3 linked regions of the Callithrix jacchus genome follow. The protein of the gene in region 1 purifies or fractionates together with the protein of each later gene. This does not show direct contact. Links are inferred from orthologs where the notes say so. Each region holds a gene or a part of one and is shown in the gene's direction. Other genes may lie near its edges.

Region 1 (2,899 bases):
AGCGGCGGGCCCAGCAGGCGCCACCCCAGGATTCCAGCACCAAGAAGGAGAAGAAGGTCCTGAACCATGGTTATGATGACGACAACCATGACTACATTGTGCGCAGTGGCGAGCGCTGGCTGGAGCGCTACGAGATTGACTCGCTCATTGGCAAAGGCTCCTTTGGCCAGGTGTGGGACACCCCCCTCCCACCCTGATCCTGGGCCCCACTAACGTCGACCACACACCCAAGGGTTCAGTGGCTTCAAGTCGTCCCATGCTGGGCCGCTCACCTGTGCCTCAGCTGCCTTTTCTGTAAAATAGTTCAAATAACAAGGTGCAACATAAGGTGGTTACGTTATTTCACGTCCAGTGTTTACACCAGTGCCTGACTAATGGTGCGCACTCAACTGTGAAGTATTCATAGTGTTACCAGTGTGTCTCCTTGCCTGGAGGGAGAAGAATGGTGCTTGGCTCTGTCCTGCCCCCACCCCTTCCTTTGTGACACGCCCTTCCCCAACAGGTGGTGAAAGCTTATGACCATCAGACCCAGGAACTCGTGGCTATCAAGATCATCAAGAACAAAAAGGCCTTTCTGAACCAGGCCCAGATTGAGCTGCGGCTGCTGGAGCTGATGAACCAGCATGACACGGAGATGAAGTACTACATAGGTGAGGCCTGGGCACCTGGGATAGCGGAAGCTGGAGCTGGTAGGGATGGGTCACCCTCCTGGCCCACCCTCAGGAGGAAGCTGGTGTCTTCAGAGCAGGGTTTGGTCTGTGCTTCACTGACATCAGTGATTCTCCTGCTGCTTTGATCATTGTTGTCCTATTTACTTGCTCATGATCAGAGGTTACTGAGTGCTCACCAAGGGCCAGGCTCTCTTAGAAGCACTTTATGTAAGTTAACTCACCACAGCCCATAAGGGGAAAGGCATTATTGCCCACATCTTGAAGGTAAGAAACCTGGGCTTCCATTCTAGTTCTTAAATTAAAAAAAAAAAAAAAAAATGGCAGGTGCAGTGCCTCATGCCTGTAATCCCAACACTTTGGGAGGCCAAGGTAGGAGGACCACGAGGTCAAGAGATCAAGAACATCCTGATCAACATGGTGGAACCCTGTCTCTACTAAAAATACAAAACCATTAGCTGGGCGTGGTGGTGTGCCCTTGTAGTCCCAGCTACTTGGGAGGCTGAGGCAGGGGAATTGCTTGAACCTGGGAGGTGGAAGTTGCAGTGAGCTGATATCACACCACTGCACTCCAGGCCTGGCGAAAGTGCGGGACTCTGTCTCAAAAAAAAAGTGAAGAAAGAAAAAAAGGAACCCAGGCATTCAAGTGCTATCACTTGCATGAGGTGGCAGTTTGTACTCATTGAGCTGTATGATTTAATGAGGCCGTGGACTCCAGAGCTGTTACTCTTAACATCTATCTATGCCAGTCTTTTCTCTTAAACTGATTTCCTCCTCGTGGACATAAACATCACATAGCATAATCATAAGCAGCAAGTAGATTTTAAAATTGTTTTGTTTGAAAGGAAAACATACATTCTTAAAGTAAATGGAAAACCAATCTCCTTTGCCACAAAAATGAATACAACCGAGATGAGAGCAGTGTTAGGAAACGAAACGAGGAAGTGTAGCGAAACTCTCTTTGGTAATTGGAAGGTTTCATAGAGACTTGGAAAGAGAACTAACTTCCTTTGTGAATCTAGTTGTTAGATAAAGAGATCGTGACTGGCAGATGGTACCCATGGGCACAGCACAATGTGGCTGGTCCTCTAAGAACATCATGTGACCCCAGGCCACCACCTGCCCTCTCTGAGCCGTTTCTTCTCTGTTGACCCATTTCCTCCCTTCCCTCACAGTGCACCTGAAGCGGCACTTCATGTTCCGGAACCACCTGTGCCTGGTGTTTGAGCTGCTGTCCTACAACCTGTACGACCTCCTGCGCAACACCCACTTCCGTGGCGTCTCGCTGAACCTAACTCGGAAGCTGGCGCAGCAGCTCTGTACGGCCCTGCTCTTTCTGGCCACGCCTGAGCTCAGCATCATTCATTGCGACCTCAAGCCTGAAAACATCTTGCTCTGCAACCCCAAGCGCAGTGCCATCAAGATCGTGGACTTTGGCAGCTCCTGCCAGCTTGGCCAGAGGGTATGGGTTGGCCCTGTCCTGGGGGCAGGGCTTGTGATTTGGGTGGGGCAGGGCCAGTGGGGAGGCTTAGGGGCGGGGCTAGGCTGGGATGGGATTATTAGGAGCTGCTGGAAGTAGGATAGTGCTTGGGGTGGGGGTGGGGGTATACTGCCAGCTACGATGGGAAGAGTGAAGCCTGAGGGGACAGGGCCCATTTTGAAGCTGCCAGATGTGAGCAGGGTGAAGTTGGGTTGGGTTAGAGCCAGGGGGGCTGCTTGGATAAGTTTTTGTATCCTGTGTTCTTAAAGCTGGGGATGGAGGTGGAAGGCTTCAACTTTGCAGCTCCATGTGAGCTGCTGATGAAAGGGCTTATGGAATGTCAGCCTTTGCCTGGTGATCCAGAAGGGCCCAGGGTCAGGGTTGGGGGTGGAGATCAAGGTCTGTCTAGGCCAGCAGACTCCCCAGGCTGGTAAAGAAGATTGGCTCCCAGAAAATTGGTGCTCACAATGGCAGGATTTGGAGCCTCAGTCCCCAGTTTGGCAGCAAGAGGCCTATCCTCTGTTGGGTCCTCAGCTTTGGGGATGTCAGTGGGACCAGTAAGGGAGGCTGGGACCCTTGACGATTGCCCTTTCCCCAGATCTACCAGTATATCCAGAGCCGCTTCTACCGCTCGCCTGAGGTGCTCCTGGGCACACCCTACGACCTGGCCATTGACATGTGGTCCCTGGGCTGCATCCTTGTGGAAATGCACACCGGAGAGCCCCTCTTCAGTGGCTCCAATGAGGTGTGC
Region 2 (4,190 bases), on another chromosome or scaffold:
AGATGTGGTCTCTGAATCACATGGGGACTGTGGAAGTGCTGACCACCTTCTACACACCACATTCTTATATAATCCTTAGTTAATAATCATAACAACAGTATGAAGCACATGGTATTGTTTAACTGCATTTTACAGATAAGGAGACTGGCTAGTGACCTACCCAAGGTCACAGAGTAAGTGGCCGGACGTGGGATTTGAATTTCCTCTCTGGGTTTTTAAAAGCCTTCCACCACTGCGCACAGGGACCCAGTAGGATTTCACGTCCAGAGAATCATACTGTGCCCTCCACTCTCACAGTTTTACACGACGAAATCTGTCTAGCATGTACAACTAATAAAAACAGTAGAGGAAAAAGACGTCATGAGTAGGCAATTTATAGCCAGAGAGGTGGGAGTGCAGGTTTTGGGTCCACCATTTTTTTTTTGTCTTGATGAGCACTTTAGGTCATTTTAGTACTAGTGTCACTGCCTGCCTTCCTGAGTCTTTGCCACAACAAAGACTTGTTTCCTACACTAGACAAAAATATGGATGGCTGACCCAGTTCTGTCTCAAACAATGATCATAAGAATCAAATAAGGCCATCTGTAAACTATAGCACTTTACAAACTGGTAAGGTAGCAGCCATATTTCCAAAGTATCAGGGAACAGTGAAGCAGCTGATTAAAATAAAGTCTTGATTACTTGAGATACAGGAGGGTAGAAATAACGTGGTAACTGAACTCTATAGATACTATCTAAAATCGCATTCTAACAGGCAAGTTTAATCTTTCTGAGATTTGCCTCTTCCTAGAGCTTTAAAAAATAAGAAGATGGGTGTAAAATGCCAGTAAGATTAAATTTCTTCTCCTTTTGAGCCCTACCCATAGGTAGAATTAGGGCAGAACAAAAAGATTAAGAATAAAAGCCCGAAGGAGAGGCCCGTACATGTGACTACACAGTGAATACTGGGGTAAGGAAATGAGTTACTCGGAAAAGCCTTCAGATTATCCCTGCGGACTCCTCCGGGTCTGGACATTCCCTTTGTCAACCTTCCAGAGTCTGAGTCCCCAGGGCTCCCCACAGCGGGAAGGGAAAGGCGCGCGTGTCTAGGCGCGCGCGTACACGGGCACTCACGTGTACACACACACGCGCGCACACTACACATACACACACGGCCCGTTTCCTCTGCTCCCTCCCCGCGGGGGGCGGGTCTCTTTCTCTTTAAAGAGCAGACCGTCTCCGCGCACACCCAGGCTCTCAAGGCCTCCGGGGCCCGGGACCCGAGCTGCTCGCAGCCAATGGGAGTCGTGGAGCGGCTCGAGCGCGGCTGACGCTGCACCAATGGTTGCTCGCGGGGGGCGGGGGCAGCCGAGGAGACACTATTGTTGATGAGGAGCCGCGGCGGCGGCTGCACCACCTCGTTGCTGCCGGTCTGGGCCCCGGCCCAGTCGCCCCCCGCACCTCGGAGTCCAGCTTCGTCACCCCGTCGCGGGGGCCTGCCCAGCGGCCTCGAGAATCCTACCCCTGCAGCCCAACAACAACAAAACCCCCCGTCTCGCCCAGTCACCGGGGAGGGGGGGACCATGTCCCAGCGGGTGAGGCGCAATGGGTCCCCCACGCCGGCCGGCTCCCTTGGGGGTGGTGCGGTCGCCACGGCCGGGGGACCCGGGAGCCGCTTGCAGCCCATGAGGGCGACGGTTCCGTTCCAGCTGAAGCAGCAGCAGCAGCAGCAGCAGCAGCAACATGGCAGCCCCACGCGGAGCGGCGGCGGCGGCAGCGGCGGCAACAACAACGGTGGTTGCTGTGGTGGCGCCTCAGGCCCCGCAGGCGGCGGCAGCGGCGGCGGCCCGCGCACCGCCTCGCGCAGCACCAGCCCCACGCGCGGCGGCGGGAACGTGGCCGCGCGCACCAGCCCCACGGTGGCCACGCAGACGGGCGCGTCCGCGACGTCCACGCGAGGCACCAGCCCCACGCGCGGCGCTGCGCCCGGCGCTCGCGGGAGCCCCCCACGGCCGCCGCCGCCGCCGCCGTTGCTTGGTACCGTGTCGTCGCCCAGCTCGTCGCCCACCCACCTGTGGACCAGCGAGGTGAGCGCGGCCCCACCCCCAGCCCGCGTCCGGCATCGGAGGAGGTCTCCGGAGCAGAGCCGAAGTTCGCCGGAGAAGAGGAGCCCCAGCGCCCCGGTTTGCAAAGCAGGTAAGTGCTGGGTGTCGCGCAGCCTGGGGGAGGCGGCGGCGGGAAGGGGTCCCGGGCGCGCGCTGCCATCGCGCGGGGACTGCAGCGCTGCCGCTGAGCCTGGGTGGCTGGGGGCGGGGCTGGGGGCGGTGCCGAGCGGTGGGGACCGGGCAGTGTGGCCCCACCTTTCCCGGGCCTGCCTGGTGCCCCGTTTGCCCGCCTCATTCATCCCTTCGTCCGCCCCGCGCGGCTCCCCGGCGGTAGAGTTGCAGACGCTAAACCTTGGGCTTGGGCTGATGAGTGTTAATGATAAACCTGGCGTCCTGGCCTTTCGCTCATTACTGCTCACCCTCCATCGAGAGTGAGGCTAGTAGTGGTTTGTCATTTTGTTTGAGGGACAAGGTTAATTTTGACATAACCCATGTCTGCTGCTTCTATATATTTCTGTTCACAAAACAGTCTCAGATCTGGGGTCCTGAATGCATTAGCAGTGGCAGGTTTGAATCACTGAACAGACGAGGCTGAGACCCGTGTTTGAGCATTTCCCAAGACTTGATAAATGGGTAGCAAGAAGTGAGAATTAAGCAAGATTTCTTAGGAAGGTTTATGGGTTTTGTCTGAGGCTCTGGGTGTATTTCTGATTTTGTGTACTGATTTTTTGTTTTGAACGTAGAAAAACAGAATCCAGTGTTTGTCTCCATCTTGTTATTGTTTTAGGGAGCTAACATTCGTTGTTTTTCTGTTTTCCTGGAAGCTTTCTTGGGAAAAATCCTGAATGGAGCTATTGAGTGCCCATGCAGTCATTCATAAAGAGTAACTCAAAAGAGAAATTCAGATTGGGTGAAATGGAAAGGGATAACATTTACCATCTTGTTGCCTTGAGAAAAGAAAGGGGTGGTTTTTAGTTATATATTCATTTTTGTCAACATATATCTTTGTCTTTCCCTGTCTGGGGAACTCCTGTTAGAATCTTCCAGGCAGAATGGTTGGAAATTTGAGGAAACGAATTCAGTTGAAATAGTTTCCGAAATGGAAATAGTAGGATGACTCTATTTATTTTATGAAAGGTTTTAAATAATACTATTTTGGAGAGAATTGCCCTGGAAAATGATGAATAGTATTTTCTTTTTTTTTTTGAGGCAGAGTCTTTGTCACCAGGCTGGAGTGCAGTTATGCTCATTGCAACCTCTGCCTCCCGGGTTCAAACGCTTCTCCAGCCTCAGCCTCCCGAGTAGCTGGGATTACAGGTGACCACCACCATGGACGGCTAATTTTTGTGCTTTTAGTAGAGTTGGGGTTTCACCATGTTGGCCAGGCTGATCTGGAACTCCTGACTTCAGGTGGTCCTCCCGCCTCGGCCTCCCAAAATTCTGGGATTACAGGTGTGAGCCACTGCTCCTGACCTAGAGCAGTTTTGAACCTTTCGAGAATGCAGAATCCTTTTCTAAAACTGTGATAAAAGTACTAGACTTCCTCTTCCGGCTTCATAACCTCTGTCACCTACTGAACAAGTACTATATGGCAGGTGGTTTTTATGCAGAATCTCATTTAACCCTCACTGTAGCTTTTAAAGAGGTTAACAAGTGGCAGAGTTAATATTTATTTGAACTCTGGTCAGTTGTACTCCAAAGACGATGTTTTTATATTATATGAAGAAAGTGACATCATGATGTGTAAGATAGAACCTGGGAAATGTATAGCACGCCAAAATTACATGTACTTAGTTAAGATGTACTTAGACATCTAATGAACAAAACTGCTTCAGTCCTTCAGCCTTCTGGAGCCAGCATAGTACATTAGGTGGAAGGGAAAGAGAGCTGCTTATAAGTGAGCACTAGAGGTGACAGAAGGAGGCACAACCCGCAGCCTGGTGACAGAATGTGGCTCTCTTAACAACTGTTTGATATTGGGAGAAACACGCTGAGAACTGGGTCAAGTATTAGCAACTTGTGGTGGAAGGTACTCTTTCCCTCTGATCTCTAGGAGGGCTCTGTTTCCTGGGATCTGAGGCTACTCTTGTGCCCACTCTTCATTTT
Region 3 (4,105 bases), on another chromosome or scaffold:
TCTGTTAAAATCAGTTATCATTAAAAATTATATTTAGTGGCCAGAATGGTGGCTCAATCCTGTAATCCCAGCACTTTGAGATGCTGATGTGGGAGGACCGCTTGAGCCCAGGAGTTCGAGACCAGCCTGGGCAACATGGAGAGATCTCATCTCTACAAATAGTAATTTAAAAATAGCTAGTTGTGGGGGCGAACGTCTGTGGTTCTAGCTACTCTAGAGGCTAAAGTCGGAATCGTTTGAGCCTAGGCTGTGAAGGATACAGCCCTTATCCCACCAGTGCACTCCAGCCTGGGTGACAGGGCGAGACCCTGTCTTTAAAATATATATATATATATTTAATGTCCCACAATTCGATACAAACCTCCTTCAATTTTGATGAAAGCTAAGAATTGGAAACCATTTATAAAGGTTACTTGGTCTCAGGCCCTTCTCCCTCTCAAACACATAAGCACAGATACCTTTGGGGCTGGATTAGCATTTGCGTTGGGATCCACGGCGGGGAGGTAACAGGATAGGAACCAACAAAAACATAACCAAGCTGGTCTCGTTGATGCCTACCCTAGAATTCGGGGACATTCCTAGATCCTACAGGAAAGCGCCGGAGCGCCTGACTCAAGCTGGCCTGACCCTTGGCGCATCTGCACGCCCGAAGCCTGTCCCTGGGGCACGAAGAGAGCAGCTTTCGGGTTAAAGGGGCCGCGGGACCAGAGGGAGCGGGAAGGTGGTTCCCGCTGGGCACTGACCAGACTGCCAGGCCGCGGGGCTAGGTCCCGCAACATTCAGAAGAACTGTACTAAGGCAGAACTGTACTTTTACTCGACAGCGTGGAGAGGCCGCTTAGAACAGCGGCAGCAGAGGGGAAGTCGGCTCAGGTCACAGATGGCTTCACTCTCGGAGACTTGGCCTAGAACTTGGAGGCCCGCCGCCCCCGCGCACGCTCGCTTCAGGTCACCCACTCCCCACCGCAGACCCTGCGCCGTTATCTGCCTGACTGACAGCCTGGCCAGCCAATGACCTTTGGGGCTGCCAAAGCCCCTGCCTCCAAGAGTTAGGCGGGGCGAGTAGGTGCAATGACAAACATTTAACCCAATAGCGAAGAGCTTTTAGACGCTACGGCCGCAACAACCAATGAGAAGAAAGAACCCTTTCGAAAGGACGTGTGAGGCAACCAACTGCTGGTGCCGCTGCGGGGGTCCTGTGGCTTCCGTTCCGAGAGGGCGGGGCGGCGTCCCAAAACGGAAGGTGGTTGTCGTCTGTGCCCAAGCTGGTTTGAAACTAGGGGTCGGGCTCGGCCGTCGTCGTTGTTTGTTGTCGCAGCTCCGCTTCCGGGGGTAGGCCGTTCCTGACCGCCTCCTCCGCTACTCCCTTTGGACCCATCGGTCTCAGGCCCGGCTCCCCGCCCGACTCGTACCCCGCACGCCGCAGCCCGCTGTTGACCCGGCCCGCACTGCTGCCCTGCAGCCACCATGTCCCTGCACGGCAAACGGAAGGAGATCTACAAGTATGAAGCGCCCTGGACTGTCTACGCGATGAACTGGAGTGTGCGGCCCGATAAGCGCTTTCGCTTGGCTCTGGGCAGCTTCGTGGAGGAGTACAACAACAAGGTGGGCCGGGCAGGGGCTCGGAACCCAGCTGGCGGGGAGCGGGCCCCGGGAGCGCCCTTTCCGGGCCGGAGCCCAGGCCCCAGAACCCTCTTACGGACTTGCCTTAGAGGCACGGAGCGGTTCCTCTGTCTCGCCCAGTGTTGAAGGTTTCGTATTCGTTGTCTGTCATGTAATCCAGACAGCATTTTTGTGTAGTCGACAGTGTAGTGGGGCAGCTGAGGTACGGTTTTGTAACTTGCCTGGGTCACGCAGCTATTTCGTGGTGGAAACAGGTCTAAACCCACGCCGTTTATTCCTCCCGTGCCCTCCACTCCTGCAGCATTGCTTTCGTTGGTGGGCGGGGAAGGAAAGAGGCAGTGATAGCTGTGAAGGAAAATGCAGGCGCTTCCATTGATGGTCGTGCACTCGTGGCCACACTACATTTCTATTAAGGCGATTTATTGTACAGGCTTCCCCGCCCCTTACTCCCACCCCCCGGTACTCATGTATCCTAGCCCTTCTGCCAAAATTACTGTTGTCCTTGATTCCTGATACGCATTCTCTCTAAAGCAATCTCTTTGGAAATCTTGGCCTGTGGCATGATCCCGCCATTGTTTCCTGAACAGAGAAGGATGACAGGGCCTTATCTCTTGGTTTGTTTCATGCTAGTACAGTTGTGTAACTTGTAGTAGTAAGTCTTGCTGGACATCCATCAATTTGAGAATGCTTTATAGAAGCATGGTGTAGAGGGGAGCTTTTAAACTGGCATTGCAATGTTATTTTTGAAAGTTGAATAAGTGGCAAGAATTTTCTTTCCTTTCTGTCTTCCTTTTATTCAGTTACAGTTGTGAATGATAGCGATCAGAGCCACTGAAAGCCGTGACTAGTGATACTTAAAGCTACTACTCCTGCTCTGTGCCATGAACATCAGATTTAAGAAGAATGAAACCGTGTTCAGTGACAAGGCTGATGCAGGGGGAAAAAAGCCAGGTGGTCTAGGAGCGGGTCCCATCTGGTTATTGACTAGCTGTGAGGTGTTGCACAGGCCTGTTTTATTATCTGTGACCCACAGTTTGCTGTAGGAAAGGGATTCTGGTTTACATGTGAAGGTCTTGTAAAAAAAAAAATTTGAACATTTTACAGTTTGTTTACAGTTTTTCAGGAGCACATTTGTGTCTCGGAGTAGGTCGTCTTTGGAGTCCCCTTTGAGAAGCTGATGAAAGCGATGGACTCTCACTGTCTGTACATTACACATACATGAACAATTTACAAACAAATCCCAAGGAATATGCACTGATCTTTAAATCCACCCACTTTATTTGCTATCTCTGATGCTTCTTTCTTCCTTATGGCCCATAGTGGACAGCAGAACTGGGAATGGGATTCAAGGTTCTGATGTGGACACCGGGTTAGTAAAAGTAAGACCACTAGAACTATTGTTTAAGGATACACGTGGAAAATAAAAAAGCACGTCTTTTAAAGGGCTTGAGTCTTTTCACACAAATTAATGTTTTTTTCTTGTAAGTTTTTCCAGGGTCATTGGGTAAACAATAGTCCCATTTCCCAGAGAGGAGAAACTGAGCCACAGTTAGGCTGCTGGTAGAATCAGTGGATTAATTGGTGTCAAACTGCCATTGCGGGAACTCTACCCCAAAGTTTGTCCTTTCATTTAGCAACTATCTGAAGCTTTCTCTTTGCGCCAGGCACACAGGTAGCGTGGCTTAGTAGTGAAATGCAAACTAATAATGCCAGTATCAACAGCATAAGCAATTAACTGTATCTTAACTCAAATGATATAGCCAATGGTCATCTGATACCAATAGACCCCTTCTCACAGTTCTATTTTCAAATGCATGAAACACATAGAGTTACAAAAGAAACCACTTACATTGCGCTACAGATGTAAACGTTTTTTAAAAGTGGCGATGTAGTCATATGTACTTTTAATAAATTAACTCATTGATTTATACCGTCCAGTGTAATTGTTAACATAATTTTGAAGTGGTGACAAGGGTTACCAGGTTTTCAAGATGTTGAACAATGGCTCCGTGATGGGGAAAAAATATTTCTCTTGCTGGCAAAGTCACAGGTACTCATGCCACTGTGAGTAGCTAACCCTATTTGTAATTGAAACAAAAAATTTTAGCTAGAGGTTAATGGAAATATGAGTGTACTTCTCCAATTCAAGTTCACAGACCCCAAGTTAAGAAACCCTGCGAGAGAGGATTGTGTCTAGTGGCTGGTGAGCAGCAAATCCTGCCTTAAAGCAGTGATTCTCAGGCTAAGTTTGTGAGAAACCCTGCCAGAGAGGTAGCCGACTTCATAATTTGAAGGAACTTTAGAATTATTGGTTGGAATTTTTAGACCATCGGTTCCTGCTTGCCATGGATAGTGATTGCCAGCAGAGGACGAAGTAAATGGGCACAGCAAATTAACATTGATGAAAAAGGCTAGAAATGGTCATCTTTTTAGTGTGGAGACATTCACTAAGAAAACATGGTTATAATTTTTAAAATTTGGTA

What was found.
Region 2: the proteins of DYRK1B (region 1) and FAM117B purify together in Homo sapiens (affinity purification with mass spectrometry; 3 studies listed by BioGRID and IntAct, counting the BioPlex papers as one, with this or other methods). This does not show direct contact. The link is inferred for Callithrix jacchus from reciprocal best matches to the Homo sapiens genes DYRK1B and FAM117B.
Region 3: the proteins of DYRK1B (region 1) and DCAF7 purify together in Homo sapiens (affinity purification with mass spectrometry; 10 studies listed by BioGRID and IntAct, counting the BioPlex papers as one, with this or other methods). This does not show direct contact. The link is inferred for Callithrix jacchus from reciprocal best matches to the Homo sapiens genes DYRK1B and DCAF7.

What each region holds. Positions count from the first base shown.
Region 1 is NC_133523.1:35,101,261-35,104,159, forward strand, and holds part of DYRK1B (dual specificity tyrosine-phosphorylation-regulated kinase 1B), read left to right. Parts: coding exon 1-170; intron 171-502; coding exon 503-650; intron 651-1,843; coding exon 1,844-2,130; intron 2,131-2,746; coding exon 2,747-2,893; intron 2,894-2,899.
Region 2 is NC_133507.1:123,777,756-123,781,945, forward strand, and holds the start of FAM117B (protein FAM117B), read left to right. Parts: upstream 1-1,357; 5' UTR 1,358-1,367; coding exon 1,368-2,175; intron 2,176-4,190.
Region 3 is NC_133506.1:88,827,570-88,831,674, forward strand, and holds the start of DCAF7 (DDB1- and CUL4-associated factor 7), read left to right. Parts: upstream 1-1,237; 5' UTR 1,238-1,466; coding exon 1,467-1,604; intron 1,605-4,105. UniProt on the Homo sapiens protein: Involved in craniofacial development. Acts upstream of the EDN1 pathway and is required for formation of the upper jaw equivalent, the palatoquadrate. The activity required for EDN1 pathway function differs between the first and second arches.